Linked DNA regions of Rhinolophus ferrumequinum. The protein of the gene in region 2 interacts with the protein of the main gene of each other region in a pairwise test. Links are inferred from orthologs where the notes say so. Each region holds a gene or a part of one and is shown on either strand. Other genes may lie near its edges.

Region 1 (7,345 bases), on a different chromosome or scaffold from region 2:
TTGGAGGGTTACCTCATGTCTACTTCCTCATCAGGCAAGCAGAAGACTGTATCCTTATCAGTCTTCAAAGGCCCCAACCTCTGCCTTCTCACCTGGACTTGCCATTAATTCCTGTTCTTCATCTGGGAGATACCTCTGACTGAAAATTCATTTGTAGAGCAGAAATAATTGACACACTCTGAACCCAATGGGTGTTAAAGCCAGCCTTGCCTCACGGTACGCACTCCCCTCTCTACCCCTCGTCGGGGAGTGATGTTGCAGAATTCTACTCACGACAGTTTTACAACATCAAAATCCTTTAACCATATAGTAACAATACATACAATAAGAGGAGGGTTGACCACTCACACATGTTTTTATGGGAAAATGGACAGCGCTTTCCCTGGTAAGAAAAGCATAGGTCTGCACCCTACCACAAAAAAAAAAAGAAATCCCAGGATGCCCCAGAGTGCAGTTTCTTTTCTTCATGACGTGTTGTAAAGCACGTCAGCTGCTTGTTGTTGCTGTGCAGATCACACAACATCGGGTCACTGAGAGAGACAGCAGTGCTTGCTCGCACAGCTTGTAGGATTAGGAGATGGTGCTTTGTCGGCCCTGACTGAGTCCCAGAAAGCCCCCAGTATACTCAGGTGAGCTGTGAGGAAGAGTGGATGTGGGGACCACGTTGTCTCGGTTGTATGGTACAGATGTTTTCTCTTTGGCAGTGCATTTGTATTGTCTTTCTGTGAAGTTGGCAGTCAGGGGTGGTGGTGGGGGTGCTCCTGTACATAAAAACCTGTCCTTTATCACTTATCTGGTTTCAGGAATTGGCCACATGCTCCTCACAGGATTTTTGTGAGGTTCAAAGAAGATTATATATGTGAAAGAGATCTAAAAATATAAAGTTGTGTGCAAATGAAAGGTATGAGTCATTTAATTACCAATTTCACATAAAGAATCAAATAATTTATACCAGATTTGGGGGCATAGACACATTTCTTTTCTCCCAATCTGCAATACCCTATCTCCCCTGTTCCTCCCCAGGCCTGGGCAGGGATCTTATTTATAATCTTGAAGAGTTCTAGCCTTCAGAAGCAACTGATACCTTCTAAAAACCAGCATTACATTCATTTCTAAAGGAAAAGCCACAAAGCTACAAAACCAGACAATGAGTATGTAAGTAGACACTGAAAATGACGCATGAGAATGTTGTAAAGCAGATGAAGATGAATATAATATACTGTATTAGATGATATCTCTTTGATGGTATAATCCAGACGTTGTAAGACATTTCTCTTGATGACATGAGAAACACTTGAATGAAACTAAAGGCAACATAGATATTATCATTTGTAAAACTTGCCTTTTAGAACAGTGGAAAAACAGGCTTGGGTTCCAAAAGTACAGAGCTAAGAAGCATTTGAACACTAAATCATCAGCCTTTCCTTCAGCAGGGTTGCTATGGTGACAACAGGGCTACCACACAGCCTCTCACTGCCTGCACTTCTGCAGTAAAAGCTTTCATTGAACACATGTTGGATTTTTTAGGCACATACCCCATCATCAAATACAAAGACATAATGAGGCAGCTTTCCCTGAGTCATTTTCAGAGCAGAAGTTGTGTCTGTTTTCTTTATCCTGTACTGATGGGCCCCTTATGGTGTTATAGAATTCATTCATTCTATGTATTCATTCATTTGACTATTCATGTGACAGGACCTGTACCAGACACTGCCAATAATCCCTGGTGAAGACAGACAAATAAATAGGGAATTCTGATACAAGAGAATAACAGCTCTACTGGGATAAATTAAATACGAGGTGTCCTGGAAGTATGTAAGGGGAGCACCTGACCCTTCTTGGGGAGGTTTCCTGGAAGACGCTATCTCTAACATGAAACTTAATGTAACCTAAGGAGTTGAGAAGGATGGGTGGGTGGGATACAAGAAGGGTTCTAAACAAAAGGACCATCATGTGCAACAGTCTAGAGGAAAAAAGAACAGATACCTCCAGAGAATTGAAAATTCTAGTTTAGGGGTATCCATTTGCAAAGGACCGGTGGGTAGTGAAGGCAGGAGGTGCAGGGTAGAGAGAGAAGAGTGGCAAGAAATGAGATCGGAGAGGTAAATAAGGACAAATCATGAAAGGCCTTTGTGCCACATTAAGGAGTTTGAATATTATGTAGAAGATAACCAGGAAGTTGTTAGTGGGTTTTAATGAAGAAGTATGACATGAAGAAGGGTTTTAACGAAGAAGTATGACAAGGCCTTTGAAAGAAGGCCTTGTGGGGAAAATTTGAAAAACTGGTGAGAAAGGAATGAGGCAAGATTGGAAGCAAGACCACTTGAGTTAGATCACTATTGCAATAATCCAGGATGTTTGTGGTTGAGACTCTAAATGAAGATCATGCAGTTGATCAGTAGACAGAAGTAATCAGATTCAAGACATTATTATTAGGGTAGTGTGGAGATCACGTGGCGATGGCTGCTATCTGGGGGTCACGGGAGGGAGAAGCCAAGAAGGACTCTGAGGTCCTGATTGGACAGGTCAGTGAAGGATGTTTCTGACATTAGGCCGCAAGCCTCAATTCTCAGTTCTTAGTAGGGAATTCAGAAGCACCTTTTGACCTTAACAGTTCATTCCTATCTCACAGTATATGTTCCCAGGCTTATAATTTTGGAAATATTAGGTTGGTGCAAAAGTAATTGTGGTTTAAAGCATTAAAAATAATTGCAAAAACTGCAATTACGTTTGCACCAACCTAATCATAAATTATAGAAGTCATCCTGGACCATCACTTTCCTGACATCCATATCTGAGGACAGCTATGGATATAGAAAGTATAAATTAATCATGCTTTCCTCCCAAATAAAAAAATCCTAGGATCACCAACCCCACTGCTTAAGAGAGCTAAGTAGATTGAAAAGGTATGAAGATGTATGGAGTAAAATTGCTTTGGAAATGTAGGAAAAAGAAATTGATTCCACTAATCCTGACTTCAGGCTCTCTCTAGACTCATACTGTGCATTTGTAGACTTTGAGAATTGAAGACTGAGACAAATGCTATTTGGAGAGCAGAAAAATGGGGATGTTGAAAGTTCAAATACGATTTTTAAGGATCATGCAGGACACTTGGGTGTGAGGATCAGACTGTTCCCACCCATATTGCTACTTAGAATGCTCTCCAATTCTGAATAAATGGCATCTAAGTTATTATACATGTTGACTTCTATCACCAGGTAAGATTTCAGTACACCAAGCAAAATAATAAATCAAGGCCCATGATCCAGCTGATGATTCCTATTCTAAGTCCTCAGTTGGACAGGTTTTGAAGCTTTTTTGAACAAATTGGTCTGTCTCACAAATACTTTTCCTGTCATGTAAGAGGCCTCAGCAAGTAGAATGGACAGCCTGAAGGTGACTTAACTGCCCTTTGGAAATTTCTATTCCGTCTGCTGGGTACAGCTCTTTTGTTTTCCTCATCTAATCCTCACAGCTACCCTTTGAGGTAGATATTATTATTATTATTATTATTATTATTATTATTATTATTATTGAATTTCACGAGAATGAAAATGAATTTCAGAGAGGTCAAGTTCAGAGAGGTCAAAAACTTGAGGCACAAAGATACTCAGCTTGAAAGGAGGGAAGTGGTGCCCCGAACCGGGCTTCATAAATTCAAGTGCAGTGTCCTTCCTGTAGCTGGGTGCCTAGGGCTCTCTCTCTCTCTGGCGGCTGCTGAGCAGAATTGGAGAAAAGGCTGCTCTCGCCCTAAACAGCTTGGCTCCCCAAGCCCGCGGGAACCGCCTCCTCGTTCTTAGCCTGGGGCGCTGCGCTTCCAACCCAAGGCCCTTCTGATGCAAACCACCCAAGGGGAATAGCAAGCAGCCTTTGAGATCCCGGAACCCAGATGCTGTGTCAGTCCTGCAGCACTGGCTTGGCTGGGGTCCGGGTGGAGGGGGACCCGCCCTGTCTCTCTCGGGGGAGGTAATTGTGGGCAGCCGTGTGCTGACTTAAAACCGAGAGGGCAGGGAGGGGCCGTGAGGGAAAACTTTCTCTTTCTCCATTTTGGCTCTCAGTGATGTCGCAGATTTTCTCTGCTCTTCCATCCGACGTGCACCGCCTTCCAACCGGATACCAGGTGCCAAAAAGAGGGTGTCGGGAACCTCCCGGCTGCAGATGCTCCGAGCCTCGCCTGCCCCCTTCGGGTCAGGATCGGCAGAGAGGGAGGGGCGCCTGGCACCTGGGGGAAGTGCCAGCGGCGAAATCGGGCGGGCGGGGTGAACCGAGGCACGGACGGGTCGTTCGGGGGCCGGCAGGTGAGGGAGGTCCGGGGGAACGGGGCGGCGCCCCAGGGGCAGCAGCGGGCGGCGGCGGCACCACGTGTCCGGCCGGGGCGGGGCGGACGGGTGCGCCCTCGCAGCGGAGCGCGAACCGTGGCAGTGGCGGCGGCTCGTCGGACCCGCAGCAGCCGCGTCCTGCACCCCGCGCCAGCTCACCGCAGTCTTCTCGCCCCAGTGCAAGCAGGTGCCTCCTGGACGGCGACAGCGGCGGCGCGGGGAGCCGGAGGGCAGCAGCGCGATGGGACCCCTACGAGAGAGCAAGGTAAGGAAGGCACGTAGTGTGGACGCGGGTGGCAGTGTGCGCGAGAGCTGGAGGGAGAGGGAAGGTGACCACGGCAGGGCGAGAAGGGCCAGGTACGAGCTGGAGGGGTGGCGTTTAGAGTGGGGTAAACGGGGACAGGAGGTGGTGAGGAGGATGGGAAGCGAGGGACATTTGCTCAAGTGATGAGACCCGGGAGATGGGTAGGTGCTTAGGTAGGACAAGATTTGGGGGGTTGACAAGGATTTAAAACATTGCCTTTGGAGGGTTAATCCCATCTCCTGAAATTGGGAATTTGGGATCTAGCTCTGAATTGATGTGTGTGTGTGTGTGTGTGTGTGTGTGTGTGTGTGTGTGTGTGTGATGTGAATAAAAACGTTTTCATGTATTGGTGACTGAGAAATGAGGACTCCGGCATGTCAGCGATCCAGACAGTATTGGTTCAGGGTATGCAGTCTGCCAAGCCCTGTGGCAGACGTGTGATACCTGCTGGGTGACTGATGTGCTTGACAAATCCAGACACTGGGTGCGGCTCTCGCCCCTGGATAGGCTGGATGCCTGAGCAACCTCAGGAGTTCTTCGCGGCTGGGCTTTCCCTTCAGTTCCTGCACTGTGCGGGCCTCCTAGAGATGTTTACTTTGGCAGCGACCCTTCCTGGTAAGCAGCGTGGAAAGGAGCAGGAGGTCATGTTTCAAAATAGTGTTTGTTACCTAATCCAAAACCCATTTTCAATTGCAGAGGTTGGAGGGAGCAGTGGGGTTTTTTGTAAAGAGATCCTCCTAGGAAACCATTTTAATAAGGCAGAGTGGTGGTAACCTGGAAAAGCACTGGAGTTCAGGGCTGTTCTGCATCTAGATGACATGCTGTGTTGGCTAAGCATCTTCACCTCTTTTAGCCTCAGTTTCCTCATCTGTAAATCGGGACACAAATTAGTGTCCTCTCGGTGGTCTGGGTTATAAGGATAAAATAAGATAATGGTTGGGAAAGCACTTTAAAAGTGGAAAAACACTGCCAAAATATTACTTTCATGCATTTCTTTTTAAACCAAGTCACCGCCCTCTATATTTAATGCTGTGGTTTTAAGTAGAGAGGAAAAAAAAATCTATTCTCGTGGGTGTCCTGTAAGGAAAACAAAAGCTAAACATGATGTAAAAGGTGGAGCCATCTTACCGGGTATTGGATTTTTGTTTGCTTTTCTGTTGGCAACAAGCCTTGTGTACCAGGATATTAATGAATAATTAAGATCCTGGCCGGAAGAGGAGGGATTTGAAAGATAAGGCTGCATGATCTATCGGGAAAGAATTGTTCCAGGTACAGGGGTCTACTTTGTGAGGAGATGGGAAAACAGAAGTCAAATTGTTGCAGCTAATTCAGGGACAGCAAAATGGAAGTCTAAAGGAAATCAAGTAGTGTGCTGTGAGTAATAAAAAGCCTTTGAGAGAGCCGAAAGCTTGAATGTGAATGAAAAAACTAGAGCAGGAAGGTGAGTCAGGAATGGCATGGAAGAGTGGGATGGCCTTTCTGCCAGTGGTGGAAGTGTGTGGGCTCGTGTGTGTGTGTGTGTGTGTGTGTGTGTGTCCGTCCATTTTCATCCTTGCTCCAGTGTGTGCTCTTCAGTAGATGAGAAGGGTTAGTTCTGTAGATGAGTTTTGGAGCTCATTTCAGCTACTGAGATAAGAACTACTCTGTGAAGATTCAGTGTTCAGACATGTGATTTCTTAGAAACTGAGCCCACAAGGAGCAGAGAAGTTCGGAGAGGGAAACAAGTTTCTTCTTTTGTTTTCTCTTTTGATGTCCAATTTTGAAAAGGAGCAGAGAGGGCAGCATCATGAGAAGGAGATTTCCCGAAGCCGAATTCCCCGTTTGATTCTTCGGCCCCATCTGCCCCAGCAGCAGCACAAAGTGTCCCCAGCCTCAGAGTCTCCCTTCTCGGAGGAAGAGAGCAGAGAGTTCAACCCCAGCAGCTCTGGGCGGTCAGCAAGGACCATTAGCAGCAACAGCTTCTGCTCAGGTACAGTATCCACGAGAGGCCACACACAGGCATGAAGTGTGTACACTGCAGGTGTGTTGTGAATGGGCCTACATCGGGCCCGGTAGAGCCTAGAACTAGACCTCTATTATTGGGGTGAATTGTCTGTAGTTGCAGCACAACCTTTTGGGTTGTTCTGACCTACAAATACAGCAGTTTCATATGACTCAACCCAGTGGAACTTCACACCTGTTTTTATATGACTCTAGTTTATAATTTACAATGTAAAATCTAACTTCTTGTTTGAAAACAATGTATTCCTGTTATATACATGGACTGTTTAAAAAATGTGTTCCTTTGTTAAATCTGGAAAACGTATAAGCTTGCATTTTTTGCTAGCAACCTTTATAAGCCTGTGGACTTCTATTTATGGAACCCCCAAAGCTAAAGCAACTCCAAAACATCAAGATCAAGGAGGTTTATACCCCAGGACTGGCCTTGTAGTTTAGAGAAAGGAGAAGAGCACAGACTTTGTAATCCTCCAGGCCTTAGCTGATTCCCTGGTCTTTCCACCATTTACAAGCTGTGTGACCTTGGGCAAGTTGCTTAATCTCCTTAAGCCTCAGTTGTTACACCCATAAAATGGAAGGATCATACCTACCTGGTATGGTTACTGTGAGGTTGAATGAGAGCACGTACCTAAATGGACTCCTAGACCAGTGCCTGGCTTATTATAGAGGTGCTTAATAAATGATGGTTGTTAATAAGATGAAGTAGGGATATCAGTTTTGGCAC
Region 2 (8,005 bases):
AAACCTAAAACAAACACCAATTGCTTTATGCCCATAACAGTAGAAGCTCTTCTGTCATGCTGTCACTGCTACAGCAATTTATAGAGAAAGAATATGGAAAGTGGGTCACTGTGATTCTCACTGTTCTAAAAAACAAACAAACAACAACAAAAAAAACTTGATGTTCTTTGTTTTGATACTAATAGTCTGATAACATCTGAAAAGATTTTTCATGTCTTAGATAGGAATGTGCATAACTGAATTACAAGAAAACACTGCTTAAAAAATTTTAAAAAAGAAAAACAAACTAACTGATGTAATAAAAGTCCACATAATTAGGAATAAAGAAAAAGTAGAATTATATGAACCCATATGATTTCTTCAAACATATAAAGACCCTTGACCTCATACTCAAATTGAAACCAATCAGACTTAAATTAAGGGAGAGTTTTGACCACGGTCAAAGTAGGTTGTGTGAAAGCCCACTTCTGTGAGATCTATGGGGTTTTCTCACTAAACAAATACACAAAGCCAGGTGCGCTACCCGTCCATTGGTGCTTCATCAGGCAGAACCCTGGAGACAGTAGGACACTTCTTCCTTCCTGCTGGCTTTCAAGCTAAGGAAAATGGACTCCCTTTTTCCCTCAAGTTACCAAATGAGTGTGGTTACTCTGAGTGCTCTGCGATCATCAAGTTTCCACAAACTCCACACCTCTGCTTGATCGATATACTGTATTGAGTCATTTCTCTAAGGAAACATTAACTTCAGTAATCCTGCCAGTATTGTTAAATCATCAATATTCACCACTCTTGGCCATTTAGAAGAGCTTTTCCCTTGGAGCTTATTAACAATGGAAAAAATATTTCATGCTATCCGAATATGAGATTGCCTCATACATGATATATGTTAACATGTACAGCCTTCTGTCTATGAAAGGGAAACAGGACCTCAGGGCCTGAGTGACTATTATATGTTTTTTAAGGACATAAATCTATCCAGTTCACTCTTCTAAACTAAATGGCATGTAATAATAGCTACCATTTGAGTGCTTGCTATGTGCCAAGCGATGTGCCAAGGGCTTTATAAGAAATAGCAAATTGCATGAGAGTCCCAAAAGATGGGGATTATTTTTAATTTTAAAAATGAGGAAACTGGGGCTCAGAAGAGGTAAATAACTTGCCCTGTGGTCAATGAACCAATAAAGACCAGATTTAAACCCAGGTCTTCATGGCCCCAGTGGCCATGTACTTTCCACTATTTTAAGTTGCTTCCCAAGTCTATACGTGCAGATGACTGTGGTAAGATAAAGACATAGTCATTGAAATACTACTATGTGTGCCTCCTATTTGTCCTTAGGCTAAAGAATTAATTATTCTATGCCTCCATTTATTAGTCTTTAAAATGAGGATAATAAAGATTCCTGCCTTATGGGGTTGTTGTGAGGACTAAATTAGTCAATATAAAGTGCTTAGAATAGTACACTGAACATAATAAGAGCATTGGTATGAGTTCTAGGAACAGGGAATACACCAAAGAACAAAAAGACAAAAGTCCTTGCTCTCAAAAGCCATTCTAGAGAAAGGGAAAGAGCAAATATACTAACCAACAAACAAATAACATATACATCAGGATGTAATGTCATAGTATGTCAAGATGTAATAAGAAGCACGAAGAAAACAAAGCAAAAAAGAAAGATAAAGAATACTACCTTAAATAGGGCTATCATGAAAGACCTCAATGAGGTAACACGTGGGTGAAGGCTTGAAAGGGATGCAGTCATGAGCCATGCAGATATTTAATGAAAAATCATTCCAATCCAAGAATACTATGAAGGACTATATGCCACCAAATTCAATAACCTAGAAGAAATGGACAAGTTCTTAGAAACATACAGCCTTCCTAGGCTGAACCATGAAGAATTGGAAAATCTAAATAGACCGATCACCAGTAATGAAATTGAATCAGTCATCCAAATCCTTCCCAAAAGCAAAAGTCCAGGACCAGATGCCTTCACTAGAGAATTCTACCAAACCTTCAAAGAGGATCTAATACCAATCCTGCTCAAACTCTTCCAAAAAACTGAGAAAGAGAAAGTAGTCCCTAACTCATTTTATGAGACCAACATTACCCTGATACTAAAACCTGGTAAGGATAACACAAAAAAAGAAAACTACAGACCAATATCTCTGCTGAATACAGATGCAAACATCCTAAACAAAACTCTAGCAAATCGAATGCAGCAATACATTAAAAAGATTATTCATCACGACCAATTGGGGTTCATCCCAGGGGCACAAGGATGGTTCAACATACCAAAATCCATCAATGTGATACATCACATAAACAAAATAAAGTACAAAAATCATATGATTGTATTAATTGATGCAGAAAAAGCATTTGACAAGATACAACATCCATTTATGATTAAAACACTTAATAAGGTAGATATAGAAGGAAAATACCTTAACATAATAAAGGCCATATATGACAAGCCCTCTCAGCTAATCTCATAATTAACAGTGAAAAACTGAAATTCTTTGCTCTACGTTCAGGAACACGACAGGGCTGTCCCCTATCACCTCTGCTTTTCAACATAGTGTTAGAGGTCCTTGCCAGAGCAATCAGGCAAGAGAAAGAAATAAAAGGCATCCAAATTGGGAATGAAAAAGTTAAATTGTCACTCTTTGCAGATGACATGATGCTATATATAGAAAACCCTAAAGACTCCACCAAAAAGCTAGTAGAAACAATCAACGAATACAGTAAAGTTGCCAGCTACAAAATCAACGTACAAACTCCATTGTATTCCTATATACTAACAATGAAATCTCAGAAAAAGAAATACAAAAAACAATTCCTTTTGCAATTGCAGCAAAAAGAATAAAATACCTAGGAAGAAACTTAACAAAGGATGTGAAAGACCTATATGCTGAAAACTACAAGACATTTTTAAAAGACATTGAAGAAGACACAAAGAAATGGAAAGATATTCCGTGCTCATGGATTGGAAGAATCAACATAGTTAAAATAGCCATATTACCCAAAGCAATATACAGATTTAATGCAATCTCCATCAAAATCCCAATGGTATTTTGTAAAGAAGTAGAACAAAAAATCATCAGATTTGTTTGGAACCACAAAAGACCCCGAATAGCCAAAGCAATCTTAAGAAAAAAGAATAATACTGGAGGTATCACACTCCCTGACTTTAGCTTGTACTACAGGGCTACAATAATCAAAACAGCATGGTATTGGCAGAAAAACAGACACATAGACCAATGGAATAGAATTGAGAACCCAGAAATAAAACCACATAAATATGGACAGATAATTTTTGACAAAGAAGCAAAAAACATACAATGGAGAAAAGACAGACTCTTCAATAAATGGTGCAGGCAGAATTGGATAGCCACGTGCAAAAGAATGAAACTGTCACCATGTACCAAAATTAATTCAAAATGGATCAAAGACTTAAGCATAAGACCTGACACAATAAACTGCATAGAAGAAAACATAGGTACTAAACTTATGGACTTTGGGTTCAAAGAGCATTTTATGAATTTGACTCCAAATGCAAGGGAAGTAAAAGCTAAAATAAACGAATGGGACTATATGAAACTTAAAAGCTTCTGCACAGCAAAATAAACCATCGACAAAATAAAGAGGCAACCAACTGAATGGGAGAAGATTTTTGCAAACAGTGCCTCCGATAAGGGGCTAATATCCAAAATATACAAGGAACTCATGCAACTCAACAAAAAACAAACAAACAACCCAATTGAAAATTGGGCAGAGGACCTGAAGAGACATTTCTCCAAAGAGGACATACAAATGGCAAATAGACATATGAAAAAATGCTCAACAACACTAATCATCAGAGAAATGCAAATAAAAACCACAATGAGATATCACCTCACCCCAGTCAGAGTGACTACCATCAACAAGACAAATAGTAACAAGTGTTGGAGAGGCTGTGGAGAAAAAGGAACCCTCATACACTCTTGGTGGGAATGCAGACTGGTGCAGCCATTATGGAAGGTAGTGTGGAGGTTCCTCAAAAAATTACGAATAGAATTATCATATGACCCAGCAATCCCTCTCCTGGGTATCTATCCAAAAAATCTGAAAACATTTATCCATAAAGACACTTGTGCTCCAATGTTCATTGCAGCTTTGTTTACGGTGGCCAAGACATGGAAACAACCAAAATGTCCTTCGATAGATGAATGGATAAAGAAGTTGTGGTATATATATACACTGGAATACTATTTGGCTGTAAAAAAAGGTGAAATAGGACCATTTGTGACAACATGGATGGATCTTGAGAATATAATGCTAAGCGAAATAAGTCAGACAGAAAAAGCAGAGAACCATATGATTTCACTGATATATGGTATATGAACCAAAAACAACAAAAGAACAAGACAATCAAATGAGAAGAAAAAACTCATAGACACAGACCATAGTTTAGTGGTTACCAGAGGGAAAGGGGGAAGGGGGGGCGGGAGATGAGGGTAAAGGGGATCAAATATATGGTGATGGAAGGAGAACTGACTCTGGGTGGTGAACACACAATGGGATTTATAGATGATGTAAAACAGAATTGTACACCTGAAATCTTTGTAATTTTACTAATAATTGTCACCCCAAAGAACTTTAAAAAAAAAATGAAATGAAATAAATCTCCAGGTCCCAGGTCAGTCTCCAAGCGAGAGGCCCCGCCCCTGCCTGTCCTTGACACGCCCTCCAGCGAGACCTTGCCCCGCCTCCCCACGCCTATCACCATTCCACCGGATAGACTTCCGGCGCGGAGGTTTGTCACATGGCCGGATATGGGAAGTAGTGGTGGAACGGTTGCTTCCGGTTCACCGCTCCATTGAGGGGCACATCTTAGTATCGGTGGCCGCCCCGCCGCATCTGGTCTCTGTCTTGGAACAGCCGCCTCGGCCCAGCCTGGCTGGGTCGCGCCTTGCGGTAAGCCTTGGGCCGCGGCTGCCAGTAGTGCCGGCGGCGGCGGACAGACGAGCGGACTGGCGGGCGCCATGGTCTGAGGAGGCTCCTCAGTTCCCCTAGTGGCTCTTCTCCCGGGGTCTACCTCCCTCCGTTATCAGCCGTCCCTTCCTTTCCCCGCCTGTCTGGGTAAGGCGCAAAGCCCGCTCGTAGCACCTCAGCTCTTTGCTGTCCTGGGGCTTGGGAGAACAATCCTCACGTACCTCTTTATGGATCCGCCCATAGCAACCATGTTTTCTTTGGGCAAAACGGCCCTGATCATTTGCTCTTCGGCGTGGACCGGGAGAGGAGGGCGTGACAGTGCCTTCTCCTTTGTCCAAATCCACATTTCCTGCTAAATGTCTGGCGTACATTTCCCTGTGTCCGTGCACAGTTTTCTCTTCTGGATGACAGGGCTCCACGCGTTGAGACGTCTTGAGAGCATACGGGGCCCAATCCACATAGGTACTCACATGGACCAGCTACTTGTCATGCAATGTAAGGTCCGACTGAATGTAAGGAAACAGGAACCGACACAGAGGAAGCCGTGTGTGCCTGCCTCTGGAATGTGGTCAGACATGGATTCTTAAATCTGGAAGATAGGTTTAGAGGATCTCTAGTGACGTGTTCATTGACTTAAGAGAAAAGTACTCTAAAGCCTGTAGAGTTAATCACTGCACCCTTAAAATGTAAGTGCGGTGGGGGGTCTTCATGAACATGTCTGTCATATTCACCGCTGTAACTTAGAGCAGTGCCTCCCACTTAGTAGACATCAGTATTCACTGAATGAATGGGGGTCCTGTAGTGGCTCTCATTATGCCTAACTCCTTTATGAGGGATTCCCAGGCCTCCCTTTTCCCCACTTACTATACAATCAGTTGTACTTTTAACCAAGGAGGGATTGTGTGGTAAATGTTGACCACTAACAATCATTCATTTGACCAGTTTTTACTATTCAATTGAGGTTACCTCAAGAGGTATTTGTTAGGTACCTACTAAGAAAGAACATAAAACTATGCCCGAGTGTCTCTCTCTCCTCCTGGATTTCTCTCTCTCTGTCTCTCTCTTTCAAGAAAGTTCTCGAGATCCACAAACTTAGGATTTCATGAAGCAATTAGACAGCAAGTGCTTGATTGATTAGTTAATACAGTAAGTGTTATAGCAATTGAGAGGAGAGATCAATTTGGATGAAGATCTTTATTGAATCAACTTCATATAAACCATGAAGTGTAATTTGGGTTTGGATATGGAAAAGCACCTAAGCAAAGACTTAAATACCAGAATGAATGAGAGGGTTTGGAGTGGGAGGTTTGTATTTGGGAACTTGAGTGAAACACTGAGCATGTTGTGATGAAAGCTGTTTTAATATTACTTGTTTGTGGAGGGACTTGGAGTTGTGGAAGCTTGCAAAGAGATAATCAGATACTGTAGTGTTAAATATAGTTGATGTGAACCTGGGTTAGTGTGTTGGCAGTGGGAACAGAATGGAAGGACAACTTATGTGTAGATGAGGCGAAATCAACAGAATGTGGTAGCAAATTTCATGTTGTCAATGGAGGAGGAGAATCAAATATGACAGATTTTGAACCTGGACATTTGCTTACAGATGTGAGAGTGGGAAAGGGGGAATCTTAGAGAAGCAGCAGTTATCATGTTATTTGGTACTATCATTTTGGTTAATTTATTAAATGCCTGCTACATCTTTGCCAAATTAGAACTTTGCCAAGTTCTAATAATACAAAGATAAGTAATAATACAAAGATAAGTAAGCTCCTTGTTTGCCTACAAGGAGCTACTTTTCATACAACTAACTAGAATATATCACTTAAAAGTGGTATGTTAGCAAAGTAGAGAGGAAATGTTAGAGCAGTAGTAAGGGAATTATTGTTTTTGTGTGTGTGACGGCTTCACAGAAGAGATAACATTTTAGCAGGACTTTTGAGGGATGAGTTGGAATTTCCCAGGGAGTTAAGAATTCCAAGAAAAGGAAATTGCATGAACAAAACTCAGAGATAGGAAACTGACCAGTATCTTGTGTAGCTTGGGCATAGAATGGAGTAGAGCTTTTAACATAGTGTGTAGGTCGTAGAACATACTAAAGAATTAATAACAGGGATATTTTGTAATAGGCAGAATGGAGTGAAGATGTAGAGAGGGAGAGGAAAGCAATTGGGGAAAATTCTACTTCATGGCTTCTGTATTCTCTGCAGAGTAAATGGTGAAGTTCATTTGCAGAGAGGTAGGAGGTAGACACTGGAGTTGGGGGTTGAAAGAATAAGCATTTGCAACAACATTGATGGGGAGTAGGAAGAGGAATCATTGAAGGAAATGTTCAAGGATTGCTGAGCAACACTGAAAGTTTAGCTTTGACTGGTCTTAGACATTTGTAATGAATGCAGTGAAGAAGGACATATGGCCTTCTTAAACAGCATTCGTTAGCCCAAGAGAAGTGGAGAGTGGAAATTTGTAACAGGGAGAACTGGTCTACAAACAGAGCAAAATAATTGAAGGAGTAATAATAAAAATGTGGGTGTAGAGAAATGAACACTGCTTCCAGGCTAGGTTGGAAAAGAAATTAAGCTGGAGGCCAGATGGGCAAAGAGAATAGGAAGGAGAGGGAGGTCAGAGGACTAGAGGCTGAGATGCGGTGAAACAGGGAAGATCTGATTTTTGTGCGAAAATTTTTTGAGTTGGAACAGAGATCAACTTTTCACAGATTGAGAAAAATAGAGGAGATACCTAGTTTGCAAGTGTCATTTTGTTATAAAAATTCATTGTAAGTCATTTATTTAAAACTCATAATTTATTTTCCCATAGATATGGTGTTAGAAGTAGAATTTCCTAAGCGAGCTCACACATGAAATACTACATTTCCTTCGGAAAATAGTAATACACCCACACGCGTGCGCGTGCACACACACAGATTATGTATATATATAGATTGATATATATATATTCTATATATACAAGTAAGCTCCTTGTTTGCCTACAATTGAATATATATATTCTATATATATATCAATCTATATATTCTAT
Region 3 (7,481 bases), on a different chromosome or scaffold from region 2:
ATAACAGTTGGCCACAAACTAAATTTTTAAAACTTTCAAAATTAAGTGTCTCCTAAAAAAATTAAATTGAAGCATTTTCAAAATAGTGACATATGCCTCGTAGGGCTCAAGTTTGTGCAGAATTAAATCTCCATTAGGACTAATATGGTTTAACAGGTTATATGTAAGAACACAAATGACTGTAAACGTGAATCACATTCAATTAATATTGAGTTGAGAAAACCTTCCTGATTGCTGAAAATGGTGCTTTTTTTTCTCTCTCTGTAAATAAAATATCAATGGCCTCTCTTAAAAGCTAGGCTTTCCAGTCTCCAGGGAATGGCTGAACACCATCTTTACTGCCTGCCTTATCCTTAGGCTTACAATTAAATGATGTGAAGAAACCCTCCCTAGAAGAATCCTAAACTCCTGCCCTTCCCTTCACACCCCCAACTAAGTGGATTATTTAAAAAGTAGAAGTCAAATTAAGGCACATCTCAAGAGTGCTTCCCTTCCTTCCAAGCATGTTGGCATAACATAAAGATCTCTTTCCTCTTGAAGCTTATTTTCCAGTGGGGGGAACAGGGAGGGAAGCAATAGATATACAAAACCACATGATCACTAAACTATATACATGCCAGGTAGTGGTAACTACTATTGAGAAAAAGCAGGGAGGGAACTAACGAGTGTTTGAGGTGAGTGGCAGCAATTGTGTTCAGGAAAGTTAGCAATTGTGGCAAAGAAGACATCTGAGCAAAGATCTGAAGGAGGTGAGAGAGTGAGCCAATTGGATATGTATATAAGATTTTGGGGAAGAGCATCTCAGGTGGACGGAACATCAATGCAAAGGCCCTGGGGCCAGAGGTACCTGGTGTTGGTTGGGGAACAGCAAGAGGGACACTGTGGCTGGAGCAGAGGGAATGGGTGGGAGGAAATGAGGTTGATGAGGCCAAAGAGGAACAGGTCCCGTAGGTCCTGATGGACCCTTCTAAGGACTGCCTGAGAAACACGGGGGATGATTGGAGGATTTTGAGTAGAGGAGTGGCATGACCTACAACGTTAAAGGCACTTTTCTTGAAGCGAGCTTTGGTGTAGGCGCCATCAGAAAAGACCGGAAAGATAAATCCGGTAACAGGTGTCTGAAAGTCTGCACAGACAACTCCTGAAAGAGGAAAAGGGTTGACTCCCAGACAAATGGGTGTGTGGGTGTTTGGGAGGAGGGGGTTACCCTGGAAGACACGCCTGACTAGCTTTCAGGCCTCGACCACACAGAAATCTTCGGTCCTGCTGCTACGTATTCCAGCCACAGGTCCCCTCCGGGAGGATTAGGATAGCAGCCTGCAAGCCGTGTTGCCAAGGCGACCATAGGATTTCCCCACCCCACTCCTCTGCCTCCTGAGAGCATAGCACCTCGACTCGCAACCCCTCTAGCTGGTTCGCAGGGTCTGGGCCAGCGAGAACTCATCAATATTCCTCCCGCCGCGTTTCTCCCGCCCTGGCGGTGACTCATCGCGCCTGCCTAACAGCTCCAGCCCCCGGCGGTCCGCACCACCCAACCTCCCCCACCGTCTCCCGGGGACCACGGCCAGAGCCCCGCAGCCGGCTCTGCTCTGGAGGGGCACTGTCGGCCTTGGAGGGGCACTGTCGGCCTAGTAGGGCACTGGCGCCGCTCTACCCAGTCACGCAACGCTTTCCTGCATGCTGGCCCTCAGCCGCGAGCTGCACATCCGCAGCGGAGAGGGGGCGTCCTGCGCCTACCTCGCAAGCTGCGCGCCCGGGGAGACCTGCTCTAAAGCACCCCCGCAACAACTCTGTGGGGACAGTCAACTCCCCAGTACGTGGTTTAAGATCACCCTGCGATTCCTGCAATGCACCATACGGGGGAAGCAAATATTGTAGGCACCTGCATTGCGCCCCAGCTGGGATGCACTGTGCGCAAAAGAAGAGGACTTTATGCTGCAAAACTGGAGGATCGGAGGCGCGGGGAGTTAGGGCAGGGTTTTCTTAGGACTCACCTTGTGCAGTTTCCACATGGCCCCTAGAGCCTTGACTTCGTGGCTGGAGTGTTTGCCCTCCTCCAAGCACTGGTAGCACACGGGCATCTTGCACTGCACGCAGTACATGCTGTGGTTCTCAAGCTCGTGGTCTGTGCAGGTGGAAACCTTGCGCGGGCTCAGCCGTCGGCTCACGCGGCCCTGGGCCGGGGGCACCAGGCGGTGCTTGGCTAGGGGCCCCCGGGGCGGGTGGCAGCGCAAGCGGCACGGATCGCAGTAGAAGACATCGCACTGTTCGCACATGACGGTAGCCTCCTTGGGCGCCTTCTCGCAGAGCTGGCACTTGAGAGCCGCGGCTTTGCTCTGCTGGTAGCGGTCAATTACCCCTTCCAGGACGCGGTTCTTGGGGAAGCCGCGGAGCCCCCGGTCATCTAGGATGAGGCTGCGGTGGCACTGGGGGCAGGTGATACAGGAGTTGCGGGGCACTGGGGCCAAGGCCGGTGACAGGTGGGTGGCCGGTGGAGGCATAGCCGGGGGAAACACGCGGACGCCGTTGGGGGACTTCTGGCACGGGGTAGTGGGGGCGCTGGCGAAACCCCCGTAGGAACCATAGCCGCTGTCCGCCTCGCTGTACAGGCTCATCTTGTCCAGGTCCAGGTAGTCATAGTCGGAGACACCGGAGCCTGAGGCCCGACGGCTCTGGGGGGACTCAGACTCCGGGGTTTGCACCAGGATGTTGCGGGCGCACGCCTGACATAAATTGTGAGAGCAGGGCAGGATGATGGGCTCCCGATAGAAGGACCCGCACACGGGGCATTTTAACTCTTCTTCCATCTCTTCCATGGGGACCCGGCTGGGAGCAAGGCAGCGGCGGCTGCAACGGGTGGCTGAGCTGGCGAGGTGGCCACCGGCCTGTCGTGTCCAGCACCTTGGCCAGCAGCGGCGGCGGTGGCAGCGGCGGCGCCTCTTCGCGTAGCCGAGGCGCGGACTCCCTGTGAACCGCTCTCGGTGAGCTACAGCACCGCGGGGCTGAGCGCCACCCCGGGACCGCCCCCTCCTGCCCGCCTAGGTCCCGCCCATTGGACAGCAGCGACGGAGCGAAGCTCTCATTGGCCACACGCCCCGTTCTTCTCCTCTCCTCCGCAGGCCACAGGGGGTTTGGTGGAGGACTGAGGATGAGCGGAGTCTTTGCTCCCCGCTGCATGATCTCGGGAGGGGGCTGGCGTGCGTTGGCGAAGGGACCCGGAAGAAGGTATTAGGCGGGATGACTCATCCCTCGCCCCCCTTCCTTCCGACCTCCGGTGCAGTCACCCAGGAGCAGGGGGCGTGAGAAACCCCTCCGCGCAGCGAGTGGGCTGGCGCTTCTCGCCAGCAGTCTGCGTTTGGCTTCCAGCTATGGTCTCTGCGCCGACCTTATCCTTCCGCTGCTGGCAGCCTTGACTGGTCCTCACTCAGGCCTACGTTTCTGTGTGGCAGCCGGGCTTTTGTCCTCCTCATGAACCCGCTGAAGCTTGCCCCTGGCGCTCCCCTTCCGGGAGTTTGAGGGCGCCGTGCAGGAGCCCTGGCAAGAGCCTCTTAGCGTCTTTCCCTCTCACTCCCTGATGTCTAATGGTATCGGCTTCCTAGAGATTTAAACCACGTGACCTATGTAAAGGCTCAGTACATTGGTTCAAATCTGTGCCCCATTCATTTCCCGCTTTCACTTCGGGCTAGCCCAGTGGCTTCCTACCGTATGGTGTGAACGTGCTTCGGTCCCCTCTTCACTCTCCCTGCCTCCCAAAGCTTGTCCTCATCCGGCTCTCAGCGTCTGACTGAGCTTTCACAAGGCCAGCAGGACCTTTGGTTCAGCTGAGGCAGGAAAGGATTGCCCATTCCTGAGGGCCCATAGTTGAGTAACTAGCTCCAGATGAATCACGGTGTTAATGAGGAGCCCCAGTATTTGACTCCAAACGGCATTATTCGGTGTCACGTGGCCTGAGCATTTACCACAGCTTAGAATGCTGGGTTCTTTCTGTTTCCTTAAGTGACCATGGGGGGTGGGGGGATGTGGGGGTTTCCTAGTGTTAGTTCTCATATATTAAGCATCCTTCTCCTCCCTCTCCCCAAACATTGCTGGAGAGATCTGGTCCTGCCCCTTGCCAGCAGAACTGTTGATTTCATGATAGAGAACAAAAAGAAAGAAAAATCGTTAAGTCAAGTGACATAATGACATTCTGTGGTAGTAACTCATGAAACGGTTGCCTTTTGCTGAGTGATTCATGAAATAAATAACAAGAACTCAAAGTTCTAAGAAATCTTCTAATTTTCCATCTCTCAAAAAAGATAATTTGATGATATGCAGCTACATTTTAAATTTAAAACCACTTTATTGCCCAGAAAAAAAGACTTTTTATAACCTTGCCCTTGGAAAAATAGTCCAATAAACTAGGTTATCCCTCCAACACTCTTTTCAGTTACAATGAAAACAGCACTTGAGGGCAGCGGGATGGCTCAGTTGTGTAGAACTCCAGCTCTTAACAACAGGGTTGCCAGTTTGATTCCCACATGGGCCAGTGAGCTGTGCCCTCCACAACTAGACTGAAGGACAGCGACTTGACTTGGAGCTGATGGGCCCTGGAAAAAACACACTATTCCCCAATATTCCCCAGTAAAAATTTATAAAAATAACAAACAACAGCACTTGATTACTGGGGGTAAATGTTCTCATTGTTATTTAAAGTTATGTTATCACAAATGCTATAAAATTTACTTTTAACCTGTCTTTTAGCTAGTTGCATCCAGAATATCCAAAGGCATATGTACTCTGTTTACATAGAATTTCTTTGTTTGGGTTTGGAACGTTATCTGTATCTGCAGGATACACCTAATTTAGGAGTCCCAAGAAAATTTGCTAATAACAGGCAGGTAAGTATTAAGAAACTGTTAGGAAGAATTGTCAGTACTGCTCCTAATTTACAACTCTTTCTATGACTTTCGTATGCATTTGGCCCAAAGTCACAGTAACCTTGGGCCAAGGCTTTGGACGTTTCAAAGTGAGCAGCTATTACTCTTTTTATGAGTTTGAATTTTGCTTATCACAGTATACCATCTGCTATAGATTAAATTTTTGTGTCTCCCCAAAATTCATATCCTGAAATGCTAATCCCCAGTGCGATGGTATTAGGAGGTGGCGCCTTTGGAAGCGGATTAGGTCACAGGGGAAAGAGCCTCCATGTATGGGATTAGTGCTCTTATAAAAGTGGCCCAAGAAAGCTCCCTTGTGCCTTCCACCCTGTGAGAAAACAGGTCCTCATCAGATACCAAATCTGCCAGCACCTTGATCTTATACTTCCCAGACTTCAGAATTGTGAGAAATAAATTTCCGTTGTTTATAAGCTACCCAGTCTGTGACAATTTGTTACCGCAGCCCAAACTGATGAAGACACCATCTAAGAGGTCTGCTTATTAGCACAAAGCTCATGCTTAGTTCAGAATAAGGGATAGTCTTAGGGAATGTCTGTGATGTAATATGCTTTTGGTTTCCACAGAGACTCAATAGAATACAGATTTATAATATAGCCAATATGCAAAGATTTGATCTATTATGAAATATATTGAGATGATTTGTTAGACCTCAGGAATTAGACATATCAATCCCAAGAGAGCCCTTAATATGACTGGTTTTTATTGTGTGTTCACTCTGCTCTAGGCAATGGGTTTATTTATTTACATGCATTACCTAGTTCAGTCCCTGTAATAAAAAGATGAGGTAGGTACACTTATCTCCATTTTAAAGATGAGTAAACTAAGATAAGCAAAGTGCTCAAGGTCGAATATTGGTGAGGCTGGGATTTGAACCCAGGCACATGAAAGTTTGTTTCTTTGTTCATTCATTCATTCATTCATTCATTCATTCAACAAACGCTGAGTTCTACTCTCTGTCAGGCTCTGTGTGTGATAAAATACCCAAAATGATCTTTGTTAATTTCTATGCTATTCTGCTTACTTTCCCTGGAATTTAAAAAAATAATAATTTCTTTAAAATATTTCTGTAAACTTTTGAAGATTTTCCCTTCATGTTGCACTATTTGGCCATAATGTACTTTCAAACTGCCCCCACCCATGAGTTGTATTTAAAGGGAAATAAACATCAGAATGTAATTGATGATATTATAGAAATACTAGGGGATATCTTCTCTCTTCCAGCTGGTGATCAGCCCATGCCCTGAAGCACAAGGATTGATAGCCCTGTAATTTCATTACTCCTGCAGAGACTGCAGATGTTCTCATTTGTGTCAAGTGCCTGATTATCCTCTGAAACTTAGTAAATTATTCACCCAAACAATGTTCTTTAGCAATGAGCGGAGCAAATTTAAAATGTTCTAGCAGTATTTCCATTTTTTTTAAACAAATGTTTACCAATGAAAAATTTAGGTGGGTTTCTATTTTCTGACTACAATGCTTAATTATTAACACAACAGTCTTTTTGATTCTAAAGAACGAACACTCAGAGAAGAAAGAATTCTCTCCCATCTCCCTTCATGCTCTCCTAGAGCCACCAATCTTTAGTGCAGCAGGAAAAATCAATGAAAGGAGCTGATTGTAGGTGCTGGCCCTTTAAGATTCTCAGACACAGATAAAAATATTCTGTATTTAGTTTGTGATTAATGATATTGCTGAATGTGTTTTGTGAAATTTATATTATTTGAAAAGCGATTGGGGTGATGTTCTATTTCAAAAGAAATTCTGAGCAAACTTTTTATGGGGTCATTTAGCCCATTATTATTTAATTTTATGCTTGCTATATTTGTGACATCCTTTAATAATTTTCATATTTATTTATTGTTGATATTCCTTTGTCTTTTAATTATGCAATTATTGTAGTAAGAGTGTTTTGCCCATTTAGTACTGGTAGATGACCTTATCCAAATTCTGTAGTATTTCTAACTATAAATATTTTATTACTAAAACTTTGGAAAGGGTAGACAGGAAACTGGAAAGATGGAGGTTTAATGAATCTTGTATTTAAGAGAGTTGGAGGATAAATCCAGGAGACCCAACTTGTGAATAACAGGAATCCCAGAATAGGAAAAGGCACAGATGGAAGAAAAAAAAATCACAATTGAAAAAATAATTTCCTGAATCAAAGAAAGATCTGAGGTTACAGATTGAAAGGATTTTAGAATTACAAATAATCTTGATGAAAAAAGACAGCATATACAGATACAATTCTTGAACTCTTTAAGGAAAAAAGAAATCTTCAAGATAGGTAAGGAGACTTGTTTGTATTACAATTCCAGGAATTGCTCTTTCCTCTGAAGTTCGTACTGGTTAACCTGGTAGAGGTCCACCCTCTATATGCACACATCATTAAACAACTTTGAACTAGGTTATTTCATTTCTTATAATAAGCATGTTATAATTTCAAAAACATCTAATAAATATTTTTAGAAGAATTTTGAGGTAATTTCTGAAGAAGTGTGAGCCCTTGTACTTGTAATACCTTTTCTCCTATCTAATCGTCATTGT

The links.
Region 1: the proteins of EXOC1 (region 2) and SYBU interact in a two-hybrid assay, tested with the Homo sapiens proteins (2 studies listed by BioGRID and IntAct). The link is inferred for Rhinolophus ferrumequinum from reciprocal best matches to the Homo sapiens genes EXOC1 and SYBU.
Region 3: the proteins of EXOC1 (region 2) and TRIM9 interact in a two-hybrid assay, tested with the Homo sapiens proteins (2 studies listed by BioGRID and IntAct). The link is inferred for Rhinolophus ferrumequinum from reciprocal best matches to the Homo sapiens genes EXOC1 and TRIM9.

What each region holds. Positions count from the first base shown.
Region 1 is NC_046297.1:50,072,189-50,079,533, reverse strand, and holds the start of SYBU (syntabulin), read left to right. Parts: upstream 1-3,984; 5' UTR 3,985-4,060; coding exon 4,061-4,120; intron 4,121-4,279; exon of another isoform or gene 4,280-4,298; intron 4,299-4,497; coding exon 4,498-4,584; intron 4,585-4,654; exon of another isoform or gene 4,655-4,676; intron 4,677-5,100; exon of another isoform or gene 5,101-5,238; intron 5,239-5,733; exon of another isoform or gene 5,734-5,754; intron 5,755-5,871; exon of another isoform or gene 5,872-6,064; intron 6,065-6,390; coding exon 6,391-6,592; intron 6,593-7,345. UniProt on the Homo sapiens protein: Part of a kinesin motor-adapter complex that is critical for the anterograde axonal transport of active zone components and contributes to activity-dependent presynaptic assembly during neuronal development.
Region 2 is NC_046288.1:17,845,844-17,853,848, forward strand, and holds the start of EXOC1 (exocyst complex component 1), read left to right. Parts: upstream 1-4,816; 5' UTR 4,817-5,119; intron 5,120-8,005.
Region 3 is NC_046289.1:41,274,290-41,281,770, reverse strand, and holds the start of TRIM9 (E3 ubiquitin-protein ligase TRIM9), read right to left. Parts: upstream 3,362-7,481; 5' UTR 2,817-3,361; coding exon 1,995-2,816; intron 1-1,994. UniProt on the Homo sapiens protein: E3 ubiquitin-protein ligase which ubiquitinates itself in cooperation with an E2 enzyme UBE2D2/UBC4 and serves as a targeting signal for proteasomal degradation.